2 linked regions of the Struthio camelus genome follow. Each later gene encodes a partner of the first gene's protein in a complex. Links are inferred from orthologs where the notes say so. Each region holds a gene or a part of one and is shown on either strand. Other genes may lie near its edges.

Region 1 (15,063 bases):
AGTTAGGAAACATCGGAAGAAAGATTTCTTATACAATTTTAAATATAATAAATACAAACGAGTTGATTTAACTGATCCTTCACTACTTTTTTCCACCACAGGACTTTTGTCTCATTCAGCATTAAGAATATGATCCACTTAAGGAGTAACTACTCAATTTTTCTTCCTGTCATTTAACGTGCATCCCACGTTACACGCTATTTAAACCCTCCTCTTACAAGACTTTATTCCTAATGGGATTCTGTACAGGACTCATAACTAGAGTACGTTAGTGTGCCATAAAAATTAGCTTACTTACATAACATTTCCATGAAGTAGGTATTATTCCCATTTCACAGATGACTAACTTGAGTAACAGATTGAAGTTTAAAAAACATCCACCAGTTTTGGCTGCACAATTAGAGAAATTTAGGGCACAACTTCAAAACACTCCATATTATCACACTATGTCTGAAAACAGAGCCTCTATTAAGCCACGCAAAAGAGAAGTCAGGGTCTATAGCCTGTCACCCAAGAAATCAGCCCACTGCTAATGAACACTTGTGAAAAGTTGGTTTAAGCAGACTTATCTGGCATCACTAGAAACTGATAGAAAGAACAAATTCCAGTATTTCAAAGTGACATTTAATCACCCAAATAATAAGACATGATTTCCCTTCCCACAGCTCCCTGTTAATTCATTTCACGTTTTCCAGCTTCAGGAACATATGACAGCCGTCTTGAATATGCAGTTCTAACTCTTAAATAAAGGAAGATGAAAAAGTTTTCTATAAACCATAACTAAAGACTACCCTAACATATACATAGGAGGGGGACAGGAATTAACTAAAATAATGTTTACTAAGTCTTTCAAAAATTAGGAATTTGAGTAGTTTTAATGCATCTGCTTATATAAAATAGAAGAAGATGCAGGCAATGATCCATTCAGAAATAAAAAGTTACTCTAAAGTTACTCTTTTACAACACTGTAAGAAAGCCCCTGCGGAGAATTAACTACAAGCAACATTTGTAACTTGGGGAAGATGTTCACAGTGCTTTGAGTTCTCAAAGCACAAAATACACCAATATTCAAAAATGAACACTAGAATATTTCTTTCAGATAACTACATACAAACACAAATTTCACAATTGTTAATACCCTCAATTACAAAAATGCTTCCTAGAGTTATTATGTACTGCTTAATCTCAGCTGCGCAAACAAAAAGGAAACATCTCCTATCTGCTACCTCTGAAAAACTCCATTATTGATATTAAGAATGCATTATTGCACTTACGTACTCTTTCGTCCATTTCCAAAAACCAGAAAAGTAAAGTGTTATAACCTCATTCTTACTAGTTTCTACTCCACAAAGTAGAAAATCCAAAGTAAAGAATATTATATACCATGAGCTAGGGGTCCACAGTTCGCCTCCTTTAGACCTTTAAAAGATACAAGTGGCACACTGAATGCACACAGACACCATCCTACACAAGAATTTCCACAGAGCATATTGAAGAGACTAATCTTTTGTAGCATCTCTTTGTTTCTATGTACAGGAAGTCATATTGAACTATGTACAATGCTTCATACTGAACTAGCAAACAACAAAATAATTACCAAAGATGGTTTACTGTTAAGTACGATACTATCCATCATCCCTGTACATTTTCCCCGTGAAAAACTTTTACAAATTTTAAGTATGTATCGATAGAAAAAAAAATCCATAAGGATAAAAAAAATAAGATTTCCACAAAGTAATCTGCCCACTTTTCATAACAAAAAAGAATCGTGAACAGTTATTACTGGTTAAGAACAGAATCCTAACCTATGCACCACCAAAGATTTCCTAGCAATTTGATTGCCTTCACTGAAAACATACACCCGTCTAGCAAAGCAGGACTAATAAAAGTGAATTGTCAAATTCAAGGTGAATCAAAGATTACATAAGGAAAGTTTCTATGCAGACTTTTTTTTAAAGTCTTCCTCATGACTAATATGCTTGCACTTAGAACGGATAAGGGTTAAAGGTTTTTGTTTTTTAAACAAAGTCATTTTTTTCTCTTTGTAAGACTTTCAGAAGGCTGATTCTTGATGTTGAATTGAACTACAATGTAGATACACTGGGGACGTCTCAGAGAGAACGAGAGGCTGCTCTGAAAGAAGTTGTGGACAACAAATGGATATCTTCACACAAAAGCTGAAAACTGCACTCAACAATTACTTTCTAAATGATTAACAATTATGCTCGAGCTGAATGATGATAACCTTGTCTTCCTTAAAACAGCTATGAACTGTAGTTTAGGTGACTACACTATGAGAGCAATTAATAACATTTTTGACCGCTATTTCTTTTTCCATTAAGAAATGCATAAATGAAGAGTCTAATTTAGACAGAAGAAGCATCTACTAAGATTTCTGATTAAGTCAGAGAAAAAGTACATAGAGTTAGGATTGGCTAGAATCAATTCCAAAGAAACAGGGCCTAAATTAGAAAGCCCCAGATGGGGTCCTGATCCCTGGTTAGGTACTACCATATAAATGGTGGCAGACAAGATGATTAGTACAAACACATCCATCTGTTCCCAGTGAGGTATGACTTTTCCTTTCTCAAAATTAGCTTTTCCAGTATATTAGTAACAAAGCTGTCATCAGCTGAAATAACAGAGCTCAATATCACTCAATATAAGGAAAGGAAAACACTGTAGAATGTTTTCCACTGTTGGAATAGGATGCAAAAGAGTAAATTCCATAGTTAGGAACAAAATAATTGAAGGACTTAATCTTCAGAACCTACTTCAAGGACTATATATTTCATCATATTTTAGAGAAGGTTAAAAAGCAGTATAGGCAGAGAAGGAGGGACAGATAGTAATAATCTTTGAAAATAGTTGAAGCATTAGTTTCTTTTTAAAAATCAAAATGTTAAAATATTAGTCACATTCCATGAAATTGTTTCAAGTTAGACACAATACAGTAATTATTCATATAAATAATTGTATTTTTATTGTGGAATCCAAAATGTTCCAAAGAGTTTTTGAAATAAACCACTAACTTACTAAAATAACAAGGTTTACTTTCATTCAAACTCTCTAATTCTACTGATATATTTTACTTTAAGAATATATTTTGATAAATATCAAAACTAAGCAGAAAATCAAATTTTCTAAGCAGCTACATTCAATTAAAAAACCTCACCAATGAAACAGCAGCTAGCATGTTATCTACATATAGGCACAATTTCAATTTTAGATATTCAACCTCTGAGGGAGAGATTTTTTTAAAAGCATATATTCTGCAATTCTTCAGAAGTCTGCACATGATTCCCTCCAGGATCTGTCAATGCTGTTCCACTATAGTCCAGATGAGACTACAAATCAGGGTAAATCAACATGAATACTTTCCTACCAAGGATGATCACGCTGCCTAACACCCTTAAAAAAAAAAAAAAAAAAAAAGCAATGAGTTTCCTCAGTTTTCCCTTTCCAGCTAGTTCCCAAAGCAGACTGAAAGCCTTCAAGATTTTGTCAGTCTTTCCAAAGCCTATTTCAGGTTACAATAATAAGATTCTGTGTTCAGGGTACAAACACCACTACTTTAGAAACTTACTGAAAGAAGTATGATACACAATCTTACCAGTTGTCAGTACCAGAACTACCTTTTTGTTCTAATAAGGAAACTTATTAAGGAAGTGCTGGGGGGGGGAGAGGGGGAAGGAGGGAGGTGGAGACTATATCAAGAAAGTAGAAGGTAAGCATTTGGGCAAAATAATATTAAAGAAAGGTAGGAAAAGGGACATTAGAATTTGTTATTTTTCCGTATCAGTTTCGCTCCATTTGTATCTTACTTTCCTCCATTCCCTACTTGGCACACTTTTATCATCCATCTTCACGTTTTCTTAGACACTGCTCCCCTGAAATTCTCCTTGTGCAACAAGTAGCCTGTACCATCTCTTCAAAACTTAGCCTTAAAGAAAACATTTAGTCCAAAACCTATAAATGAAGAACCTTTACTACATGACTCCTACATATGACCATACAACCTTTTACTCTTTTGTATGGGCTCAAATTGTGTGAGCAAAGAAAGAATCAGAGAGAATAAAGAAAAAACATAACCTGAGATCCTGATGGAGCAATGTATCCCAACAGAAAAAGCATCTCTTTTGCTCTATGGAAGGGAGCACAGCGTCCTGTTCTACAGCCAAAAATGGATAACGCCTGAGGTCATGCTCATGTTTTAATACTATACTCTTTCCAAATACTATCAACTACCGGTGTTTCTTGTATTTTTAATTACAGCTTAATAAGAATTTAGTCGACTTGCTCAATTTAACTCTATATGTAAGCTTGCTAGACACATTCTTAAAGTAATATTTATATGGCACACAAGATAAAAAGATGTTAGCATACAAATGTTACATACATATGATTTTCCATTTGAATTTGATTTACTTTTTACAATAACTAAACTGTAGTTTAGTTTTTGCCAAAACAGTTATCCAGTCTGTCCAATAAATAGTGAAGAGAACGCAAGAGACACACAGGCAATTACAGTTGTACAATAAGAACTAAAAAAAAAGCCAAAAACCAAAAAACACCCTCACCATAATAAAGTACAGCCTTACTTCAAACACAAACACAAGATGTCACGCAAGTACTAAACTACTTTCTCCTGAAAGCGTGCACTAGTGATGTAAGTGATAGACAATCAGATAAAGATAATTTAAGTGAGGTGTATGTATCACGTTCATCACTCTCAGTTTCTTTTAGAATACTCTGAGCATAAGGTAAATTCAGCTGTTTCATGTCTTTCTGAAGTATTACTTTGTACAAGCACATACAATATTTATAGCGTATCTATATTACACAGAAAATGCGCTGAGTAGAATTTCTATCAGAAATACAGAAAAATAGAAGAATTCCACTGGTTTGGAAGGAAAAAACCTGAAGGCATGCACGTCACCTTACCTCCCTCCTAAAACACAGGCTTTGACACCCATTTTTAACTATACAGGCGCTCACTTTTTAAGCATTTCATCTATGCCATCGTCAGCAAAGAGAAGTCAATTACAGCCAAAGCACCTACCCATCAAACGCAAAACAAAGACCAACATAAAAACATTTCAGCAGTTGTGTTAGGTCGGAAAATAGAATGCCTAACCAAATGATCAGAGTTCTCCGTAAGTAACCGCTCAGGAGTCAAACATGCAAGTCAGAATAAGGCTTGCACAACAAAACCCAGCTCTGTAGGAGCTGGTCTGCTGCAGTTTAATTTTCCAGCATTGCTCACCATCATTAATTGTTGATTTGTTTTGAAAAATAGATAGTGATTTATTTGCAGCGGGATGAAGTTACAGACCTAGATTCCTGACCAGAGGCTCTCAACGTAAACAATACAAAACCTATAAATTAACCACTCTTCATCTGGCAATTTAGATGTAAAATTCATAGTCCTTCGTCTAAAAGGCAGTCCCTACTCCCCCCCGTCTTTCCTTCGCGGGTGCCTTCTAACAGAGCCTGATGCAAAGAATTAAAAAAAAAAAAATCAGCCTGAATGAAACGAGCTCGCAGCAAGTGGGGACTCACCGAACCGAGGTCCTCCCGGTCCCCACCTCTTCCCGGCCGAGGATCACTGCTAAGTGCAGAGCGGGGAGAGAACGAAACGGCGGTGGGGGGGGGGGGGTCTTTGGCCAAGCCCGGGCAGCGGCGCGAGGCGGCGGCGGGAGCCCTGGGTGCAGCCCGAGCGGGGCTAGGCCAGCTGCACGGGGCAGGGAGGGGACACCCGCTGGAGCCGCGATCACCAGCGCTGGAGAACAGCCTCCCTCCCCCCGCCCGCCACTACCCCCCCCGCCAGGAGCCACGGGCGCTGAGCGCGCGACGCCGCCCGCCGGACAGCCGCGAGCGCCCCGGCCACTGGGGGGGGGGGGGTGACCCCCAGACCACAGCGCCGAGCTGGGGGCACAGCACACCCCAGCCAAGGTCACCCCCTCGCGGGGCCTCTCCGCGGGCGCGGAGGGGGGCGGCAAATTTAATTTGCGACGCCAGCCCCGGGAAAGGGGGGAGGGGAGCAGCCCCGCGAAGGGGTGGGGGGGATGGGAGGGGGCTCAAGTCCCGGGCCACGGGGAGAGCTCCCCCCCTCACCCCGCGCTTCTCCTCTTCCTCAAGCGCTGGCCGCGGAGCTCGGTCCGAGCTGGCGCCCCCCGCCCCCGCCGAGGAGCGGTGGACGGGGGGGGGGGGGTAACCGCGGCCGAGCTGCCGTGCTCCTTACCCCACTGCAGCCGCCTCGCCTCGCCTCGCTGGTCCCAGGCGGGTCCGCTCCGCGCTGCCGCTGCTCTGGGCTCGGAGAGGAGCTGCCGCCGTAGCCGCAGCCAATCGCCTCTAACCCCCTCCCCTTCCGCAGCTCGCCCCGGTCCCCCTGTCGGCTTCAAAATGGCGCCAACTCGTCTCCGGCTGCTCCAATGGAACCGCCGAGGGAAGCGAGCGAGGCCAGTGCGGGACAGCAGCGCCCCCTGCCGGCCCGCGCGGCGCCGCGCCGGCGCGGGCACGCGCCGGGACCGCCGGTCACACGGCCCGCGGCGAAACTCCGCGAAACGGCGTCCGGCCGCCGCGCCGAGCCGGCCCGCGGCGCCCCAACGCCACTCAGGGACACCCGCTGCCCTGGCGCCGCGGGCTAGGACCCCAAGCACCGCTTCCAGGCGAGGGGAGAAAGCGAGCCACGGCCGCCACCCCCCTCCATGCATACCCGTGCCCCGGGGCCCAATACAGCCCTCCCTCACTTTCCAGCAAGGGAAGCGGCGACGAACCCTACCTCCCCGGAAGACGTTCAGTAGTTACACGCCACTGTGAATCATGGCTTAAAGCGAGAAAAGAGACTTAGAAAAACTAACACGAGGTTTGCAGGCAAGCAGACGACCTTACTTCAGCAATCCTAGCAGTATAAACTGCCAACAGTTTCAGAAATCAAAGACCGTGCACAGGAGATGCAGCAAATGGCCCAAATCCAGAGAGGACTGTGCAATCAGTTGACAGATGAACTGTGGTAGATTTGCTGTTCTGCTGTGCAAATTAATGAAATAAATACTTCCCCAAGACAATATGAATTATAAAATGCTTGTTATAAAACAATGAGGAATAAAGATGCTCAGCTGTGGAGAAAGCAGAAAAAAAGTTGATGAGCAATTGCTCATCAAACCCTTTGGTTGCACTTCAGTGAGTGCAAGAGTTTCAGGGGGTATTCTGACAGGAAAATAAGAACAGAAAAGTGATGTAATTTAATCTCATTGCTACATAGAAAATGCTACATTTACGAATGAGATGTCTGAAGACAATAGATGTGTCCAAAGTGTTATGATTTAAAAGATGTGAAAGTCCTAGTCAGCAGATCTGCTGAAATACTTTCAAGGCTTTGTCTACAGTGGGATACAATCATCTTTTAAAGTGTGTGTTAGTTATAACATCTTGGCTAATATTTTAAATCTTTAAATAAATTCCTCAAGCTTTCTGCTAACACATTTAAAACAGCTTGCTTCACTTTCATCCAAATTTTAAACTCAGTTAAACATCCTCATCTTCTAACCAAATCTACATCAGTCCTATCAAGATAAAAATGCAAAAACTATTACATAGAAATGACTTTTCAGGCCCAAAACTACCCTTGTTTACATTTCTGAGAGTGAACTATTTGTCCTACTCTTCTGGAAAATGAACATACTACTGCACAGGCACAAAAAAGAAAATATTTTGTCTGGCAATTTTATATTACTGATTATCACTGGGAAGCATCCTGCACTTGCAGTCAAGGATATAATTTTTTCACATAAGTTGAACAATTTCTCTGCAATCCTCCCATTGTGCTGGCTTATCTAGATATCAGCTCTTAAGTTATGGAACACATCTCTTTTTTTAATGGAGCACTTGCACATGCGTACAGTGATATATACAAAACAGTAGACAAGCTGAATATTCATACAGCTATTGAAGTTGCAAAACCATGTGTATAATGTGAAAGTAACTATTGTGTTGCCATACTCTGTTTGCAAATATGTTTATCTTTTGCTCCCTTTTCCTGCTAGAACAGGCTACAGTAGCACTTCACACTTTCACCTCATATCAGGATGCCTAGGAATGATTTGAAAGTGAAATAAGGTGAAGTGCCTTGGTAGCAGGGCAACGGGAGGCCAGCCCCCCATTTACCGTCTGGCCTTCATTTCTTGCCTGGAGTTAGACTCTAAGATTTCAGAGGTCAACTTTCTGAGGTATTCCTCCGTTTCTCCACCCCCTCTTAATTGTGAGATAGTTAAAATACAGCACAAACATCCCCAAGATGCTTACTACAGGGATTAATGGCGTTTGGCTCTCTGCAGCTCAGCGGTAATAGCGTTCCTAACCCTCACGAGGGAGCCCTTCCGACAGCGCTTCTCTTCGTGAGAAGAAATCCGTTGCTAAACTTCAAACTGCCCTCCTGAAGCGTTACCAGAGATCCCCCTCCGGTTCGCGCGGAGGGGCGCAAAGCGTGGCGGTGGCCGCCGTTTGAGGAGTGCCGCGCGCCCCCCATGGCGGCCGCCCGAGTGGCCGTTGCTGGCGGCCGTTGGAGCGCTGAGGGGGCGCCCAACGGCCGACGCCGGCGCGAGGCTGCAGGAGGCAGCAGGGAGCCGCCGCTACCCCGCGCGTCAGCCCCGTCTGTAACCGGAGAGCCGAAATACCACCTTCTCAACAGTCATTTGTTGACTTAGTCATACGCGTTTCACCGGAGTTTCTTCAGAAAATACTTTGGGAAGTTTTAATGCTGCTGTGTGGGGACCTAAATTCTAGGTTAGGGAGGGAACAGCAAGCAGCCAGCGCCTTTCTGATCCAGTCCTAAAAAGAACTACCCTGTGTAATCTATAGAAGCAGGTTCCTGAAGGTGGACTCAGTGCCTCCCCCAAGAAACATCACATCTCACAGGGCACTGGACGACCGTAAGCAGACTCATTTTACTAGTTTTGCCCCCTTCTAGAAATACAGGCAAAAGAAATGATAAATGTATGATGTTACTTATCAATAATGTGTATAATCTTATGGAAGACTCACAATATGTACACACAATTGAATAATGTTTTGCTGAGTATGTCATACAGAGAAAGCCAGATTATGAAGACCAAAACTTTTACACAGAATTTCGTGAAGACAGTGTTCACATCGCCCTACGTTTAAGGGACAATGAACATCCCAAAGAACATCCTAGAAAACAGTACTCTCCTCATAGAAGTGCCTGTATCTCAGCTTTCTATCTGCAAAAACATGGTGCAAAAATAGCAGAGTACAATGAAAGGCAGCTCTTTACCTTAGCCAGAGTAATACACAGAACCTCCTCAAGACGGAAAATGCCCTTCTGAGACACACCAGTAGTCCGTCTAGCCTGGTTTTCAGCTGCACCATGATCTGAAATGTCATTTTCCCCAAGTGAGACTCATACCCTGCAAGTGCAAGGTATGCAATTTCCCCAAATGCAGAAAACTTGAAAGCATAATTTGTCGCACTAGGAGATTGCATTTATGCTTTTATCTGTATAAACAAGAACAATAGCAAAAGGAGATACTACTGAAGGAGACCTGCTTACTTTCTGTGCATTGTACACTCCCAGCATCCACAATTGCTGTAATAGGCATGTTGACATCTCTGGTTTGTACAAGATGTACAAACAGGGGTATCCCTGCCTATTCCATTTAGAATCCATTTTATGGACCTGTTGTCCATTGGTTTGTCTAGTCCCCTTTTGAACCTGCTGATAGTGTATATTTTCATAGCCTCCTTTGGCAGCAGATTCCAGAACAGCAAATAGCCCCCAGTTCTAGTATTCTTCATGCAACAGTTCTGCATTCACCTTATCCAGTGCCTTCCTGATCTGTAAAATTTGACCCTACGCCTCCCATCCTTGCCCTGTCGCAGTCAGAGTCCTAACCCCTTTGATCTCTCCTCCTAAGACAGCCAATCTACCCCCTTGATCATTTTAGTTATCCTTCTCCATACCTTCTTGAAATTTGCTGTGCCCTTGCAGCCCAGAACTGCACACTGTACTCACTTCAGATAAGGGTACATCAAGGCTTCCCATAGTAGCATGCTGCCCTCCCTCTTGGTCTCTGCTCTTTCTGATGACACCTAACTTTTCGTTGGCTTCTTCAGCTGCTGCTGCACTTTGAGCCAAAGATTTCAGAGGGCTTGTTAACAATACCTTCAAGATTTTTTCTGAGTTTAAATATCCAGGATTGGCAGATAATCCTATGTTTTACCTCACATTAATCTACCTCAAAGCCCACCTGCCATTTTTCTATCCATTCAGTTTTGTGAGGCTTTCTGGAGTTCTTGCCACTCGCACCACAGTTGATTACCCAGAAGAGCTTAACATCATCCAAGTATCATTCAATATGCACTCCCTTTTCCAGGTCATTGACAAAGATACTGAATAAAACAACATCTTAAAACAATAGCAGCAAACCCAAACATCTCTGGGAGACCACATTGCTGACTTTTCTCCAACTGTCAAGGTAATATCACCATCAGAAGACTGACTAAACATTTTCACTGAGTCTCCTTCCTTATTATAGTAACCCTGAGCCATTTGCAAGTGCAAATCTCTGTACATCTTTCGCCTTTTAGTCCCTCCATGTATACCAGCGCTTTCATTTGTCTTCTGAATTTAACACCTCAAATCCCCTTCTGAATACCAAGAGTGATAACTTTGCCATTCCATTTTTTCTCCCATCTAGCTTAAAGGATTAGGTCCTTTAAGCTACTCTGACACAGAAGAAGATCTCAACTCCAGTGCAGCAAACCCCATAGTCTCCTTACTGAAATCACTTCCAAAAAGAGTGTTCCATGGAAAAAGCAGAATCCAGGGGACAGGCTGTCTTTATTCTGTTATATATTATTGCTTTTTCTATAAATCTTAGCCATCTCCAGCACTTTATAAAATATATAACACAACAGAAAAAATAAAAATTTATTTCCACTACTTTGGCATGATTTTACCTTTTTTCCCCTCACAGCCTTTGCAATCTATCTCAAATGGGCTGTTTTTAAGCTATGTACTTGAACCAGAGTAGTACATGAAAAAGTACCTAACCTTCAGGATATTTCAGAACATATGCTATCATTCTTACTTTACCAGTCATACCTTTATTTAAATAAAAGCTAATGAGATATATCTCATAAGACTGAACAGATAGGGTGCTTGGGAGGAAAGCTGACAGGTGAGAAATGACGTAAACTTTCAAACCATTGCACTGTGGAATGAAGGAATATGCTAGGAAGGAAGCTGGGTCCTATAATAACTCAGCATTATAGACCTCTGCAATCCCTACTGATTCACCATAGCTAAATATTAAAATTGCCTAACAGCACCCTTCCCAAGCAGAGTTGGAGAACAAATTGACTGGAGGGAGTAAAAACTGAAATTGTCTTTTGTTTCCTTTATCAATAGTTTAGAGAAAATAAAAGCAGAATTTAAATTTAAAAATAAACATCAAAAGAGTAATCAAATGGTCTTTGTATCCATTTTTCACCTTTCTTGTCTGGCTTCTCTTTCTGAATGTATCAGGTTTGCAGTAAGGATACATTTGTTTCCAGCATAGGTACAGACACCTTTCCTTTTTGTTGTTTGATTTGCTTCTCTTTTAATTATGATGCTTACTTGAATCATTTAATCAAAAACTATTATATTAGAAAAAAAACAATTCAAATGTCATCTATTTACTAAGCCCTTCACACCAACAGGGGTTTTGGTCAATTAGGAGAGGGAGACAGTGCCTGTATACATCTTCTACTTGCAAAGGTAGTGATTTGTCTCGGAGACAGAAAGTAGCAGCTCATTCATTGGTTTTGGAGCTTGAATTAGAGGACTGATATTATCATGAACATGAGTAACTTTGTAACTGATTTTTCCAGGGATACTGATTAGGTGGTTTTAGGTATTGCATTTTAGTTTTTATGTCTTTTAAGTAATTTGCAAGGAAGCCACATGCAAACTGGGACTTAAAGTGAAAGGAATTGCTGGACTTTAACTGCGTCTGTGAGTTCTGTTTCCAGCATTGTCTTCCTGAAAACAGGAGTCAAAAAGCTGAGTAAGATTGTGATACTAAACAGCTACTAACTTTAATGTGCGCAGTATTAATTTTGAAGTTCAATAAGCAGCACTTAAATATTAGTGCTAAATGGTCTGACTCTACTGCAAATATCTGTGTCTTGTGGTTGTGTTTTAATAAAAGACTCGATAAGTAGTATGTGATAGCTCATTAAAAAAAAGGAATTACTAGAAAAGATATGTTACTTTTCAGAGTAAGGACAAGGAGGAAGCTTCTCTCTACCTACTGTTCTACTCTACCTACATTCTTAATATAATAGGAGTTAATATCTACAGTAGGGTAGGAGTAAGATTAAATGACCTAGTAAAAGAAGTCTTTTCTATTAAAATAAAAACTAGCACTCCTTCCCAAAACCCACCTTCTTGAGTCAGAAGCTGTAAATCTATCTTATCTCTGACCATCTTCAGATGGGATCCTAAAGAGAATCAGAGCCTTTGGAGACATGTAGAAAGAGAGAATCAAAAAAAATTGTTTCATGTTATGGTAACTAGAGGACTGGAAATATCATTAGGATTGCTAATGTTCTGAAACACTATCTGTCTCTTCAGTGCAGTAGAAAATCAATTGTGCTTCAGTTTGCTATCAGCCAGTGCAACTTTTATGCTGTAGCTATACAAATCTAATCATTTTGCTGTCTGATAGAAATAATGTTAGATAACACTAATCCACAAGCTTTTACTTTAAGGCTTCTAATACCAAGGGGGGTTAGAAGCCCCCTTTTGGGGGGATTTTGTTTTATTTTCTTCATTTGAGTCTTGCTTCACAACTGTTTTGTTATCAAATGCTATGGAATCTTCTTGCTACCATCCCTCACAGTAACTACCAGAGTAGTCCACCGACCACTCCAGCTACTTTCACTATGCAGACCTACAACTTAACACTAACATAACTCATGGCAGCTAGTATCTAAAAAGCTATAGTCAGGAAAAAATTATTCTCTCCTTAATGCCTTGCTGACAGGTGTGACAGAGAATTAGTATTTTGGGAGTCTGTGCAAGCAGCCTTTCTTTCCATGGTGATTAGCTCAGTTTGCCAGTGAATTAAATTAGTTTCTCCTTTGCGTTATCTTTAATTGATTTAAATGTTTTCCATCCTTAATTGAGATGTAGGATGGAACACAAGAGAGGAGAGTACATAACCTAAATACTCTTCAGCAATGATGCTAGAACGACAAAAATATTTAACAAGTGCTTTCATCATTAAGTTGCATCTGCAAGGTGAGAGTCTCAGTTGTTAAACTTCAAGTACCCAAATAAAAGTAACTTCAGGTAAAAAAATAAGCAAGTATTCTGCAAAACAGTGAGGACATCAACATTGCAATAATTACCCATGTTGCACTAAATCACTTTATTTCATCACCTCTTTTCCTCCTATTTGAAGAGTGATTAGCATATTAAGCATTAAATACTTAAATACATTCTGCTGTGTGAAATGTTGGATATTTTCAGTTGCTCTGATGCTGTTTCTCTTCTATTCACACCTTTTCCTTTTATCATTCCACTATCTGCTCTCTATTTAGAGCTGCTTCTTTTAATGCCCCATTGAATTTAAGTCTACAGAAGTCATTACACTCACTCTTTCCATTTTTAATTTAAATTTTAGCTGCTATTTACAGATATGCTTGCAGAATAAGCAATGCCTGGACTTCACCAAAATTGTTATTGGATTTTTATAATTGAAACTTTGATCTGGCATTTACATATCATTATGGTTTTTAAACATATATATGTTTCCGAAAACTTTTGGCAAGAAATACTCCTAGTTGGCTGACTAAGCCAGTTCTTCTCTCAAACTGTTATCTTGGGAGAAATTCTGGTGAACATTAAGTTCTGGTTTAAATTTAAAAAAAAAAAGAAAACCCACATACAACAGTATTTCCTAAAACCTCCTGAAACGCTTTTTCCAACAAGATGTAGTAAAGTACCAACAAGCAAAACAAAGATCCAAGGTGATCATCCTTTAGAAACAGGTATGATTGAATAAGTATGTGAGTAGTTCTACTGAACTCAAATGCACATCTTATTAAAAAGAAGATAAAGAGCCTCAAAAAAGTCATGAGGAGAAAAAAGTCCTCTGTGACATCAGGTCTGACTACAAGATCATAGCACAAGATCTAAAGGGATGAAATATCATTCCACAGTAACCCTTAATTGTGAGAAGTAATCTTAAGTACTGTCTGCTGGGTATTTATTTTGATTTTTTTCCTTATTATTCTAGAGGGAGTCTGATGATTCTGCCTATCTTATTATTTCCCAGTCTTTTCTGGGAAAAAGACTGCCTTCTGCAAGGCAGGTTTTAGGCATTTGTTGCTTTGCCAAAATTTATTTTTAGGTTAATAGTTAGGTTTAGTTTTCATGCCAGGTACCTCCTTCGTGCTGAATTATTTTGGGAAGTTTTATCTAAAACACTTCTAGAAACAAATTCAAAGAAACTTTTATTTTACAAGAAAGGAAAATTTACTCAAAATACGCAGTACTCCCTCTGTTACGAAATAGCAATTTGACAAGTCTGAAGAATTTTCCTCTTCTTGCTGCCACTGCAGTGTACTCAAGCTTGAGCATATGCTCTCTGCACAGAATTAAAGGTGCCCATTGCAGTATTTCTCCCTAGATTTATTTGTACTGAGAAAATTTGATCCTACACTCTGCCTGTGTAGACAGATTCCATCTGAGACTTGAGAAGCTGAGATTTCTTTCTGCAGTTTCTCCACAGCAACTGAATGCCACTGTGACACTGTGCTCCAGACTTGCAAGAGAGGATAAAGTCAGCATATTAATGTTTTACAAAAAAATGAGAAAGTGATAAGTAGAAGAAGGAATACAATAACCTGAATCAAATGGGAAGGGGAGGGAGGGAAAAAAAGAAGGGCATTAGAAGTATTTGGAAGTGGTAATAGGAGTATGGGGTGTAAAAGAATAATGGAAGTGAAGCAGGAAGCAAAATTATACTGAAAAGGAGCAGCAGAGGC
Region 2 (14,577 bases), on another chromosome or scaffold:
TGTTTTGGAATTGTAGGGAATAACTTGAAAGATGCACAGGAGTATTTCCACTTTCTAAACAGAATGTCTCAAGTACCTGAGAAGGAAATAAAGGCAACCAAGAGAGCCATATTGGTAGCCATAAATTAGGCTGGCTTGGTTGCGTTATCTGATCAGAAAAACCTGTAGAAATGTAAAAACTATACATATTTCCACCATATTACAGAGAGCTACTCCTTTTAATCTTTGCTCAAAGGCTGTTGGGAAAACCTTATTTGAATCATGTTCCTGGAGATGGGAAAGGATGGCACATCTATTCCTTCTGTTTTGCCTTTTAAATAAGATCTTCCAGGAGCCTTCTAGACCTCATCATCAGCTTTCCCAGTAACAGGATGAGAAAGCTGAGTTTTATGTTACCTAGCAGAAGAGGAAGACACAGAACAGAAGCTGGAAAAAATGACTCCCAACTATCTTTTAGTGGAAATATTGGCATTTATTCTTTCATAAATGCTGTCAGTTCATTGTTGAGCAATGCTTCTGTGAACTATAAGACTAGTACTTCTGTGTCAAAACAGTGTAGCAAGACACAGAGCAGGCATCTGTCAGAAGCAAAAACACAATCTTTGCCCATTGTGCTATTGGGGATGAGACTTAAACTTTTGGAATCTATGCAAAAACGTATGCAATTGAGAGCAAGTGAAAAGGTATTAAATTCACTTTTTACTGTGTTAATGAAATGCTTAAGGAAATAGTTGGAGACGTGTCGTGGTGTACTCCAGTAAGCCAGAAATGCATGGGATGTTCTAATTTATGGCTACCAATGGCTTAATCTATGACTTGACGATATCCTCAGAGTGATAACAATGCAGGTCCATGTAGTTAACAATCAGATGGCATCAAAATACTATTTTGAAGAAGAAATTAAAAAAAAAAAAAAATCATCAGCTGTAACACCAATGATTTGTGGCTTGAGCTGCCAGAACAACCGTTAGTTAGGGCAGGTGCATGAGTTAATGCTTCTACATTTTCCAGAAATGTTTGGTAACTTCATTACTTACCAGTAGGTGTCACTGGAGTCCAGCAGAGAACTATTATTATTTTAGAATGTTCCATTTCTACTTAATCAAACCTTTATTTCACAGAGAAGCATTTGGTATTTACATGTGTTGACATGCATCCAGTAAAAACAAAGGACTGAAACCAATGATCTTTCAAATAAGTTTTTTTCCTCTCTCAGCTACTGATAACTGTCAGTGGATAACCCTGTGGATTGGGAGAGAACTCTGAAACTTTTTTCCTCTGCAAGATGCCTGAATTTGGTCCAAGGTGCTATTGACCAAAGTGATTATCTGATGGAAAGGTGAAGCCGGTTAGGCAGTGCCTCTGTGGTTACTGAGCCTTTGCGCCATCGGTGGGGGAGGACAGGGGGAAATCAAGCCAAAAAACCCAAATCTTCAAGTTCGTTGTCACCTGCACTGACATTTACAACAGAGTCTGGGAACTGAATGGGACGGAAAGGACGCCTACTGTCAGCCACAAAGCAGCTCTCGTCAAGTCTGAGAAACTTCTCACTTTTCCACTTTTCAGGTGGAAAAGCTAGCAGAAGCCCCACTGTTAAGATCTGTGTACACCTACCTCTAGAAATAAGCAATATGCTCCTACTCCGATGCTAATGTTTGTTTTTCTCCATTCTCAGAAGTAAATTCCAATAAATGTAAATAGTAGGAAACATCAGAAGTAATTTGTATGATCTATAACCTATGTCCTTAATTTTATGCAGGAATACTTTATTACATAGATCTTTCTCTGAAGATCTGGGTCTCACATCCTAGACCTTGTATTACAAGAAATGGAGCACAGGGCTGAATGAGATTGCTGAGGGTTGAGCTGAAGAAGAGTATGAAGTGATTTTTCTCTTGTTTTAATGAGCTGTAGTGCTTTGCTGCCATGTGGTTGCTAGACGGGTGATCAGCGAAGGTATTTTGTTTGTAATATGCTCTCAGGTATTTGCTGTCTGGAAGGCACAAACTAGCACCAAACAGATTCCTATGGCTACTAAGTATTTTCTAACCATTTGACATCATACATCAAAAGACAGAAAGAAAAGAAGAGTTAGATTTTGTTTTCCCCAGTTATTAAATAGACATGGTAAAAGGCTTATTTTTCATGAAGACCTCCGAGGAGGCATTTGAGTTAGCTAAAGCAGTCTTACTTTAAGCCTAAGCTCTTGTATCAGTACGTTCTTCCAACGTCTTTCAAACGTTTACCAAGGAATGACTGGGATGCACAGAACAGTAAACATTTATCTCAGAAATTCAAGATCACACATCCACTAGAAAACTTAGAGCGTAAGGAGGCCATTGCAGGCCAATATATTAGGGTAATAATCTGCTTTTGGACAGTAAATGCACTGCCTGTTCTGTAGTCTTTGAATGTCTCTTGATCCAGTAATGAGTCATTGCTTGATATATCTAAAGAACTAATCAATATGCAGGTTATTTTTTTTTTAGCCTTTTGTTATCTTCTTCAAATATAATTCTGAAATACTCTGTCAGCACTCATTAACGTGCACTTCCGTTGCATGCAGTAGGATGATCTTTGACCGTTACCCAGAGCATGGTAACTTTGTACGTAGGGAACCTTGTTAAATGCAGACAGGACTGCAGAACTGGCACAGTGTATCGGTGCTGGATGTATCAGGCTCTTATGCAAGAGGCAGGAGACATTGCAGCTTCCTTTATGGTACCGCGTGGTAATCTGAATAAAGGAGAAGTAATTTCTTTAGGGCTGTATTCTAGCAGGGAGCTAATGAAGCCCGTAACTGCTATTTTGCTACCCTCCTACCTTTTCATGAGAAAATCTTGATGCAATTTTTTTTTTTTTTTAATTTTATCAGCTTAGTTTGCTTGATAAGTACATTAATTCTCCTGTGAGGCTCAGGGAAACATCTATCCAATCCTCTTTAGTGCTGCAAGGTTTCAGCTGTTCCTGGATTTGCTTTTTTAGTTGTAGTTTACGTTGCTGCTGTTGGTATCATCACATATAACCCTTAAAAGACACGCATACTGCTCTCAGTGCAGCAGTAGCTTAGTTGTTTGACCTAACTTTTCTATGGTTCAATGTTTTGTAACTGCTGCAGAAGTGGTCAGTTACTGGCTGACTTCTACTCTTTCTAAAAAGTAGAAACAAGTACTTGGGAAACACAAAAGTGAAAACAAAAATCTTGTAAATAAAAACTCAGAAGGGGAACTGAGTGATTATAGGATCTGTGTATAAAGAGCCACACAAACTTAATAAAACGAACACTAAGAGGACAAAGGAATATAATGCTCACATATATGCCCTTTCAAACTGGTAAGGGAAGAAAAGTAGGAAAACGAACAACAGACATGGCGCTGGTCCTCTGTTGCTAGAGGAGGAGTAGAACAGGAGAATGAGAGTCCTATCAAAAGAACTCTTTATCAGAAAGAAGATTTGAAACACCAGTTGCTTGTTGCATTTTTGTGTTTTTCACTCCCCAGCAGATATTTTGTCAGACAGTGAGTTTTGGTAGCTTGTATTAAGGGCTGGCATGGTGAAGATAGACATAGATTCAGCATTCAACAATAATGTGCATCATCAAGCTCTCTAAGAAAAGTTGGGGGAGAGGGGAAGGTTGGTGTTGAATTTGGTCCTCTGATAAGGCTGCAGCAGATCTCAGGTATTCGAGAGACTCAGTCCCCTTTTATTCCGTAACAAAACAATGTGAACTTTACCTTACCAAAGAACCTAAGCTTTCTTTGCCTTGAAGGATCACTTCTAAATTAGGCTGCATCCTCACTGCAAGTGAGTTTTTCTCCTGAAACACCTTGACGTGTTGTAAATTCTTTGTGGGAAAAGGCACAGGCAGTTTATTCTCTCAGTGTAGCTTGCCGAGATAAACTCCATAGCGGAATAAAGTTCTGATCGTGACAAAGTACAAGAAGGTCGAGGCTACGTTGTGCTTTTCCCACTAGTATCTCACCACAGGTTTTTCCAGTAGACTTGCAGGCTGTTCACCTAGGGGAAAAAAATTGCACAGAACAAACACCAAGAATTTAGCCGTAGGTGAATGACTACTGTTGGTTTGTCAAGCAGAACTAGTATTTCTAGAGGCTTTTACATAACAGAGATGATGAAGCCTCTCACATGATTGCAACAGATAGGTGTACAGGCTGGAGAGAAGGTGGAGCAGCACAACTTTTTTTTCTGCTGGCTGCCTGGGGCTGATTCATTAGTGCCATGATCCAGAACCCTTTTATCAGCGAGAAGCAGCTCCTAGCTGCGCTTGTATAAGCATTCTTTTGTTTCCCTCAGTGGTGCTTGTTTTAATCTTTCCGTTATTAAACTTAATGCTGGATCTTGGCCACCTCCCATGATGAGAAAGCTACAGTATGATACAAACACTGAAAAATGTGATCCAACACTGTATCAAGCTTCCCCTTTTGGATCTTTTGGAAAGTGGTCGGTCTTCTCAGGGTTCCATGTCAGTAAATAAGCAATATTCTACTCGGGTGAAACACCTTAGTAAGAAAAGCCATTTTATTGACAAAAATCACAGTTCCTTACAAGCTGAGTTGCAAACCTCTCCCTCTCCGCTGGTGTTAAGTGCTGCTTTACGGTCCACTCTGATCCAGCTGCTGGTGTTCTCAGCACGGCGCAAGTGCATTTTTCTACCCACTCCCAGACTACCACTGGTGTTGCTGAACTTCCTCCACCTCGTATTAGCAGTGATACTAGTGTATAAATAACTATTTTCAGAGCTATTTCAGAGAGGTTGACTAAAACATGATAATTAGGTACTTAAGGCATCTATTCACCCTCCTTTCATCTTTGCTATGCAAATAGCAAGGGGAAAATTCCATCCCCCGCCAAGCGAATGGCAGAGCCCTGAGTGCTCTCACCGGGGCATGCTGGGTGACACCTCCTGAAGGACAGGAACGGGAGGAGACTGACATTTTACAAAGAAAAACCAAAACACATGAAATGTTTAACATTTTAAGTGGCACTAATTGGGACATGAAAGCTTTGCAGCAGCTGTGAATGCAGCAGGACATCCTCTTCTCCCCCATCCTTTCCCACCTGGAAGAAAGGCAAGGAAGGAAGGATTGTTGAAAGCTGGGGGGAACATGGGAAGCAAAGAGGGGCTAGGCTGAGACACAGAAGAAGAGGAAAGAGGAGAAGACAGAGAAGAGGACTGAGGGGTTAGTGGGTTTCATGATCCTGAGGAGAGAGGTCTGGATGTTAGGAATAATAGAGCCTTCCTGTGAGTTAATGTTTGCCTTTGGCAAACAGTGTTTAGCAGGGCCTGGGGGCAACGGGTTATTGAGCTCGTTCCCCTTTTATGGGAAAAGGGGGTGCAGGGAGGATGCGTTACGCTGTTAATTCAGATACTTGATATAAAGGATAGTTACTGTTCTGATTTGCATAAAAATCTGCTTGGGAGCCTAACTTTAAGTACACACAACTGTCAAATGCTAGTTTTGGCCATGAAGATAAGCCAAGCACTGAGAAAGCTTTCTGACAGCTTCTAAAAGGACGCTGCTGTCTTCATCTTTCCCCATAGTAACTGCTAACTGGGAACTCTTCCATTTTCCTACTGTGTTGCCTCCATTTTCTTCTGGAGGAAAATGTAAGTTGAAACACTTTTTAAAATCTTGTAATGGCTGCTGAAAGATTGAATCATGTAAATGGCTCCATCCTTGGCTATAACTTATTTTGAAAAGTCTGCACTGTACCCCCATAGAGATCTCAGCATAGAACTTGAGAAACAGAAGTGGGAGGGTTCATCATTATCAGGATGAGATATGTCTGAGTAACTCTTCTGTCCTTACAAGTTTCTTCTTCTGCCCTACTTTTCCCTCTTTTATCTCTAGCCTTGAAGCATTTGAGCTGTGTTTTTCAGTGCTTTCTGACTTTATTACTAGTAATGATGCTTGTTTGGGGGGGGGTATGGAATGTGATAAGAAAGCTGTAGAAGTCTGTCTGTCTGTCTTTCTATTTTAAGACAGGAAATTTGAAGACTTAAGATGGCTGCTTACCTCTCACTATTTTCTTTATGGAGGCGAACGCCAAAATGGAGTGTCCCCTCTGTATCTGTTTTTCTGTAAAGGAAGATGGCAACTATCAGTAATAGAATTCCACAAAAGGAGTAAGATGCCTGTTAAACTCCATCCTTTAGGAGAATTAAACCCACCTACTGCCAAGAGTAGGTGGGATTTGGCTTATATTTGCTCTGTCTTGGTACTTGCATATTTGAGGTAAGCCAGATAAAATAGAAATAGCGAAGATTAACATGCTGTTTGCTAACTTATTAAGGTATTTGGTATAAACATTTTCAAAAGTATCTAGAGTAAGGTAGGTGTTAGAAGAATTGGCCTGTCTCTCCTGTTCTTGAACATGACAATTTGTTAGCTTTCAAATAAGTGAAAGGTTTTATTAGCCTTACAGCCTTCTGCTAATACCAAAAAGAGGATAGTCAGCACATAAGTTAGGTTAAACTTACCCTCTGTTAGTCACGTGAAATTTAAGCGTGACCGTGATGCTGCAGTGCTTTGGATTACTGTATGTGGGGATTCCGCAGAGCGTAGAAATACTGTTGGAGAGACGAAGCTCGCCGGCAGGGGCTAGGGTACGTGAGAGCTTTCAAACAAACTACTACTAGCCAGCGACTGTCACTATCCTGCCAACTCTTCTAAACTGCTGCTGCTTAAGTGACTTGAGTAGCAGTAGCTCAAGCTCTAAAATTTCTATTTTATTTCCAAATACTCCTAGAAAGTATTCTCAAACAGCTTGTTATTAACAGTTTGTTAGCCTTATTCTGGCTATGTTCCTTATGTTTTGTGCCTCTCAGAATAGAGTTGTTTATGCTGTAATGAACTCCACAGAGCCTGACTCCTGTGCTCATTCTGAGTTGTCACAGGACTGTTTTTGGCTCTAACAGAGCAGTTAGTCACCAAATAAGATTTTTGAACTCCTGCAATAGAATGCAAAACTCAGGCTGGTTTAGACATCCATTTTACTCTTGAAGTTTAAACCAGCTAATTAGCAGCTCTGCTAAAAGAATTGTCGTGGGGGCAGGCGGGAGCTGCTCACCCATTTGTATTCAACTTGTGTATTTTAAAATGTATAACCTGTTTTTAATAGCTCTTCAATCACCGAGTCAGGTGGTTAAGATGTAAATAATCTTTTAAACCTTCCTTCAAACAGAATGAGCACCTCTATCATATTGCAAATCAAGCCTGCACTTCTCATCACGAGGCCCTGGTCTACTTTATCTTCGCTTTCTCTTTCTAGTGGCAATTGTATAGTGTCTTTTAAGGAACACGTTTGGAGAGTTTGTTCTCTAAAAATACTACCTGTCAGTACATCAATAGGTGTCAGGTAAAGGCAGAAAGTTGGTTTACTGACAGGATCATTAAACAAAACAAGACTCTGTCACGTCTACTAAAAAAACTATTGAATTTGCGTTGTGTGAAGGAAAGGGAAAAATCGAGGATAAAAGTCATGATTCTTAACTGCAAGTTCGGAGACAACCCTAAGCTCTTCCGTGCAGTGGTGTCAGCGGGTTCCCCCCCTTCTTAATTTCCAGTGTTTGGGGCCTGTATTTTAAACCCTTTCTGCAGCTGGCAGGCTTGCTAGCCGCTCGCTGAGACTGCTGTTAGGCTCCGGGGGGGGGGGGGGTGGTGGTTTCTTCAGAGGAGCGAGCAGCTCGGAAACGACCAAACTCTCGCTGTGGTGGGGGGGAGCATCGGCGCTGTGTTTGTTCCGTGCCGCGGCGGCAGCCGCACGGCCCCCCGCGCCCCGCAGGGCTCCGCGCCGCGCCCGGCCGGGCCGGAGCGACTCGCGAGCCGCCGGCGTCGGACCCCCTCCCCCACCCCGCCAACTACAACTCCCAGCAGGTGCCGCGCGGGGCGGGCGCGGCGGCGCCGGCGCGCGCGGGGCGGGCGCATGCGCGGCGGCGCGGCCGTCGGTTGAGTAAGGCGGGGTGCGATTGGCTGCGGGCGGCGGCCGGGTGCGGGACGCGCAGTGACGGAAGGAGCGGGGGGCAAATGGCGGAGAGATGGTCCCGGGGCCTGTCCCGAGCGCGGCGATAATCCCGGCGCGGAGGAAGCGGCGCCGGAGGAGGCGGCGCCGGGGGCCCTAGCGCCTGCGCCCGCCCGGGAGGCCGCCGCCGCCGCGGGGGGAGGGGCGGAGGCGGGGGAGCCCCGTCGGCGAGCGCCTGTCGCAGGCGGCGGATCGGCGGCCAGGAACCGCGGCGAGAGCCACATCCGTGGCGCCGCCGCAGCGCGCCGGGCCGCGCCGGGCCCCGCCGCCCCCGCTGACGCCGAGGTAGGTGCCGGCGCGGCTGGCGGCGGCCGCCCGAGGCCTGCGCGGGCCGCCGCGGCGGAGCAGGCCCCGGCGGGGCGGCCCCCGGCCCTCTCCCGCTTCCGGGGCGGCGGCGGCGGCGGTAGCGCCCCCCCAGCGGGGAAGGCCGGGGCGGCCGCGGCGGGACTTTGCTCGGGGGCGAAGGGCGGCCGGGCCGGGCCGGAGCCCGCGGCGGGGGGGAGCGGCCGGCGGGGCAGGCTCTGCCCTTGGCAACCGCCTCGCTGGGCCTCGGCCGCCGCGCGGGCCGGGCCGGGCCGGGCCGCGGGGGCTGCTCTGCGGCCCGGCCGGGTTTTCCTCCGCGGCGGGGGAGGGGGCCCGCGCGAAGGGAAATGACATCAGGCGCGGCCGGGCCCGCACGGCGGGGCCACCCGGTTCCGCCAGCACCCGCTGCCACCGGCACCCCCCCGCCCCCCCGCAGGGGGAGGGGAGGCAGAGAGAGAGAGAGGAGGGGAAAAAAAAAAAAGAAACTGTCACCGTGGGATTTCATCAGCTGCTCCTGCCTCCGTGCATTTAACCTATTTTCCTTTCCTTCGATTATGTAAGAGGGGTGGCGTAGCAAGGAGCAGCGAGGAAAGATGACTGATGTGCCTTCTTTACGATTGTCGGTTGTTTATGTCCGGTCGGCCTGGCAGGGTAACTCCGGAGAACACAGGCGGTTTATTTTTCGGTTTGTGCTTGTATTTATCTTTCTTGTCCTACTCCACATACTGCAGCACGAGGTGTGGAAAGGAGAGAGGCAGGGAATGGAAACAGAGTGAAATTGGCCGAGTTTATTATTTTGCCCTGAGTGAAAAAACAAGGGAGAATTGAAAGTGATTAATTAAAAAAGAAAAATCCTTTTCTGTTGATATTCTGATTTAAGGAGGTACATACGTCTGTCCTTATCTTTAATCAGACTTCAAGCTATGCGTTTATAGTATAGGGTACTTATCTTTCCCCAGACACTCATCTTTTAACCTGTTTCCATCACGTAGCATATATATATATTTGAGTATTGGCCGTTTTGTTCAAATCTTCTTTAGAGAAAGCTTTAATTTTTAATCTTGTGAATAGCACGGTCTAGAGTGTAGAGCTCTACTTACTGAAAATGAAGTACTTTTGGCTACAGAAATCTTTTTTTCAAAACTGAACAGCACAAGTCACAGTTTAAGCCTGCCATTATTTTTTGCGGATGCTGAAAGGGCAAACTGTTGGGAATATTTATTTAAGTCAGGGAGAAAAATGTGCTTGTGGTGAGCAAAATGAATTTTTCCTGATAAGAGTTACATAGAAATTCAAATGTTATTAAATAGTTCATTTTTTATAGCTGTAAAAACTGGCCTACTATGAAATATTTTGATTTCTATTACAAGTATTTTCAAGGAGCGGTGAAATAAAACTAGTAAGTTTGATTTGTTTTGCTGTTCATTTTCTAAAATATGTGGGGAGACTGTAGTTTCACTCTTGGATGGAAAATAGGAAATTAGCTAATATCAGGGGAGCAAAAACAGTAGTTTGACGGCCATGTTAGGAGTGCCGCACAGTAGACAGGTGACGCTATGGGAAGAGAGCGCTTGCTGTTTAGTTTAATTCTGAGTAGCAATGAGAAGTCCGCAGAATGGTATTTCATAGCACAGTTCTGGCCAGTACATAAGCATATGCCTTTATCATCCATCTGCTTAACTGCTGGGGAGTTGAATGTTTCCCAGCACGGTTGTTCCTGGATCTTCTGCATTGCAACACCATCTGGTTGGTAAACTTCTGAAACTTATTTTTTAGTTCACCTAGCCCCACAGATGACCCTAGGAATTGCTTGGTTGGTACCATAAGTGAAGCTTGGCCTAGTCTGATAACGGGAGACTATTATTAGTGAGACGATCTTGCTAGGCTGCAGTGATAGAATGACATTTTTGGAAAACAGTCTGGCTTTTTTGGCAGAAGTAAGTCCGGTATTTCAGGTTGAGAAACAGCGTGTATCATGATGAGAACTAAAATATGAAAGACGGACAGTACGCCACCGATTCAGGGGAATAAAAATAGTTTTTTCTAACAAATTTATAGTGTGCTCACAAGTTTATTAATGAAGATTTCAAGCCCTTTTTTTTATACTTTAATATATATGCAAAGGGTTGGCACTTTAAAAGTTGTTTCTTTAATTCTGTAGCTTAAAGGAATTTTTTTCCCTTTTTCCTAACAGTTTTTTTCTACTCTGGAGAGTACTTTCAGACAAAAGAGATGGACTTGGTTAGAGTCATATTGACTATTTAAAAAAAAAAAAATCTACTTTCCTGTTCATGTTAGGGCTGAAAAACTTAATAATAATAGTTAAAAAAAAAAAAAAAGATAGAGATTCTGGTTTGTAAAGTAGATATGTTAGCTCTATGTTCTATATTGTCATTTGTCTAGGAGTCACGGTATTTGTTTTGGCAACAAGAAACAAGCTGCTCTGTCTTCCTTCTTGAATCAAACAAAAGCAGCAATAGAACACACCAAGGGAAGTGTTTAAATGTGTTTCTGTTTAATCTGTTTATATTTAAACTTTACTCTTTTGACAGAGCAAGCTCTGAACTGGGCTACAGCTATAACAGCCAGTAAACAGTGATCATTTGTGTTTGTTTGCAGTAGGTATCCTCCATGTTCTTAGAAACGAATTTAGAAATGTCTGTTCCTGTCCGTTCACCAAATCAAGCCCAGCCATGGGGGGTTGCTGTGTACTGGTTTTGGCCATGACTGTGCAGATGGTATAAGCCACAGGGTATTACCACAAAATATGCTTACTGTGTAAGCCTGAGCTTTTAAGAAAAGCATGAGGTGAAATTGTTATTTGTGACGAATTCGTATTTAAAACATCTATATCAAGTTGGAATATTTTGACAGTCCCTTTAATTTTTAACTACGGAGAGCCTTCTTAAAATGATACTGTGTTATGGGATTCTAGCGGAGTGCTACACGTTCAGATGTGCTGAAAGTATTGTTTTGTTTTTTGCTGATGTTTCATGGAAGCAGTGCCATCTATACTAGGAGATATAAAACTAGAGCAAAGCACATACCAAAAATAATGCACTCATAGCAGATTCTTCTTACAGATTCATTGTGCAATATCTTTATTTTATAAATGTGCAAGTAACTGGATTTCAGGTTAAGTTGATGGATGTGAAACTTGTTGCAGAAAATGTTGACAGATAATGGCGTTCACCTGTGGATGAATTCAGTTAGTCTGTAGAAAGGAACTGATGATGTATCTGTTGTTAATGTGAAGCGTGAATGTCTCGTGCTCATAGGCCCAATAAAGGGTGGAATTGCAATCGTTTGTACTAAAAAGTTAGTAAAGCTGTTTCTTCTTTCTTTTCCAACAGAGAATATGAAACAGGAGCCAAAATGACATCCCGATTTGGAAAGACCTACAGCAGGAAAGGAGGAAATGGCAGTTCAAAGTTTGATGAAGTATTTTCCAACAAACGGACCACCCTTAGTACAAAATGGGGAGAAACCACCTTCATGGCCAAATTAGGACAGAAGAGGCCCAGTGTCAAACCAGATATTTCCGAAGTTCCTAAAAAACCCAAAGTTGAAGATGAGGTAACAGAGGATCCATTTGGATTTGACAGTGATGAAGAGTCTCTTCCCGTGTCTTCAAAGAATGTGTCACAGGCTAAAAGCTCCTCTCAGCTGGAACCCGGTGAAGCTGCTCAGTCTGAGGACTTCACTTCTCTACTTGAAGCTAATAGCAGAATTAATCAGCCAGACAGCGGAGAAAACATTGTGTCCAGCAAGTGCATATCTTTTGATGATACTGTTCCCAGCTTAAAAGAAAAGAGCACAAGCAAAAACGTAGAAGATGGAGAATGCAAAGGCAGCAGTGCTAAACTCGTAACTGCAGGTACATTGACCCAACTGTCTGAATAGTGTTGTTACCCTCTAGTTTTTCAGATCTACGCTGAGGATTAGTGCTTTCTGAGGTTGATTAAATATTCTAATCAAACCTTGGGGCAGCTGATTTTTCATCTCCTTTTAAACTATAAGTGCAACGAAACAATGTATGTCTTGTGTTGGTCTGGGATCCTTGGTACTCGATTCCTTATGTCTGCAAATTCAGATACGGTGCTTTAAATTCAACATAATGCGTTAGCCCACTTTGTGTAGAATGGAATAATTATCTTCCTTTTCTGACGTTTGTTCTGAGCTTTGTGCTTTCATGTCTTTTCAATATGTGGTATCATAAAAAGTGAAGGTTTGGTAATAATGGAATGTAATGTTCTTAAGATACTGACTCTAATTTAGTGTAGGTAAATGGGGATAAGGCTTGCTGCCTGCCTGCTTAATGATTTGTATGGAAAAAGTGGGTGCTCTGAATTTCTGTTGCACAGAAATATGTTATTTTTCTCAATTAGCACACTTTTTATCAATGTGTTTGTAAAAGCTTCAGACTTAGGAAGCAGAACTCTGTCAAACTTCTAATAGGGGCTGTTTTCAGGCCCCAAAGTGTCTGTTTATAGGATAACTTTCTGATTTTGAGCGAGAATGCACAAACCCCGTGGTGCTAAACATCACTCTAGTTTTGTTCAAGTCATTCTTGGATAAAGATCAGGTGCCATTATATTTCATTAGAAGTTTTTATATAATGGGCTGATTAAACTGCAACTCCTAACATTGGGCAGAAGATCACATTAGATGAATCTTGAGGAAGATAACAGCTACTGACTTGCTCTAGATTGTCACAATGGACTTTAATGAGAAGAACTTACGTAACTCTGAAGTCTGAGGTATAGCTGACTTATCCCTCGGATCAGAAATTTGAGTGGACTTGTTCACTTGTTATACAGTAGACAAGGAAGATACTGAATAGTGTGAGATTTGTGTCACGGTGTAAGAGGAACCAAAAAATGTTGATGAAACTGTAGTCTGTCAGAAACAAATGTTAGGCTACGTAGTTTTTACCCTACCCAATTTTACCCCTATTTTTGCTGCTGAAATTATTCTTATTTTTCATAGGGTTCTGCAGTTTATTTGTAAGTACTATGTGAATTCAGGCTAGAAATGAAATTTATGTTCTATTAACATAAAGTTATAAAAGTTTTCAAGAGATTCCTTCTCTGCTGTTTCATCTCCTTGTAAACAGTGATGAGTTTTGTTGGCTATTGATGAGAGAGTGCAGCAGAGGGGGTGTTAGAATGAAACGATTTCCATGTAGGAGAGCCTAGTGAGAAAGTGTTTTTCGATTTAGAAGAGAAAATATTTCGAGTCTTTTGGGGATAAAATAACTTGGGGAGGAAACGTGATTAGAGCTCTAAAAATTCCCAATGCGTAAAGGGCCAGGAGGAACTGAGTGCAGCAGTTTCGTTGCTGCTTTCTGGTTCTGGTGTTGTGGAAAAAATAAAATATTTAGAACAGGAAATACTACTTCATTTGATGCTTCTTTAAATTCTAGAACTCCTTTCAAGAAAATAATAGTTGTGCCATAAATATATATGTTCTCGAAAAAGGAAACTGATAAGTTTTGATGGATAAGTTCACCAGTGATGTTTGAATGTAAGGGTGGTCTGGATGTAGGCAAGTTACTTAAACAACAGTTTACTGAAGGAATATTGTTCTTGCCTGTGTTCTCTAAGTACTTTCTACTGATTGCGAATCCGTCAGAAATGGAATGATGGCCAAGGTGGATCTTGCCCTGATAATGCCGTTCTTTCTGAATTTCCTGTAATGAGCAGTTTGCACCTAGTCAAGTGAAGATTAAAAACCCACTTCATAATTTTGTTCTTCAGAAATCAAATTAAATAGAGACTGAATCTGCCTAACATCCCTAGAAGGGGCATTAAATAAGGGTAAGGAAACAAAGATTATGGTTTTAGCGATAGTGTTTGTTTCGGCATTTAGTGCAAGTGAAATTTGAATAGATTAGGCAGCTATTATGCTTGTAGGTAGACTTATCTGAAGTAAATAAAAATAGTCTCTGAAAGCGTCAGAGGGTATAAGGTAAATTGGAGGGTATAAGGCTATCTTCTAGAACTGGAGGGAGGTAATCTTATTGTGTGTGTGTGTGTGTTTTTTTTTTTTTTTGAGGCGGGGGGAGAGAGGGAGATTGGAGAAGAAGAATCTGTATGACAATAAAAAGTTTGTTTCTTACTGTGTGGTTTCCTAAGGTAAAGTGTACCCTTGCTCTCCTTGTAACCATTTTCACTTTCCCTGCTGCTCCTGACCTCAGCCACATTCAGCCAGGTTTGTGTAAAGGGTATA

What was found.
Region 2: the proteins of PDS5B (region 1) and WAPL are in contact, whole or in part, in a crystal structure (PDB 5HDT), measured with the Homo sapiens proteins. The link is inferred for Struthio camelus from reciprocal best matches to the Homo sapiens genes PDS5B and WAPL. Residues at the interface, in NP_055847.1 of Homo sapiens: Gln47, Phe88, Ala92, Pro93, Ala95, Trp137, Val138, Lys139, Ser140, Asn142, Ile143, Phe145, Glu146, Glu187, Gly188, Asp189; in NP_055860.1 of Homo sapiens: Lys7, Thr8, Tyr9, Ser10, Arg11.

What each region holds. Positions count from the first base shown.
Region 1 is NC_090942.1:198,624,167-198,639,229, forward strand, and holds the start of PDS5B (sister chromatid cohesion protein PDS5 homolog B), read right to left. Parts: upstream 6,374-15,063; 5' UTR 6,245-6,373; intron 5,582-6,244; exon of another isoform or gene 5,563-5,581; intron 1-5,562. UniProt on the Homo sapiens protein: Regulator of sister chromatid cohesion in mitosis which may stabilize cohesin complex association with chromatin. May couple sister chromatid cohesion during mitosis to DNA replication.
Region 2 is NC_090948.1:33,733,189-33,747,765, forward strand, and holds the start of WAPL (wings apart-like protein homolog), read left to right. Parts: upstream 1-8,667; 5' UTR 8,668-8,939; coding exon 8,940-9,031; intron 9,032-9,888; exon of another isoform or gene 9,889-10,092; intron 10,093-11,699; coding exon 11,700-12,223; intron 12,224-14,577. UniProt on the Homo sapiens protein: Regulator of sister chromatid cohesion in mitosis which negatively regulates cohesin association with chromatin. Involved in both sister chromatid cohesion during interphase and sister-chromatid resolution during early stages of mitosis.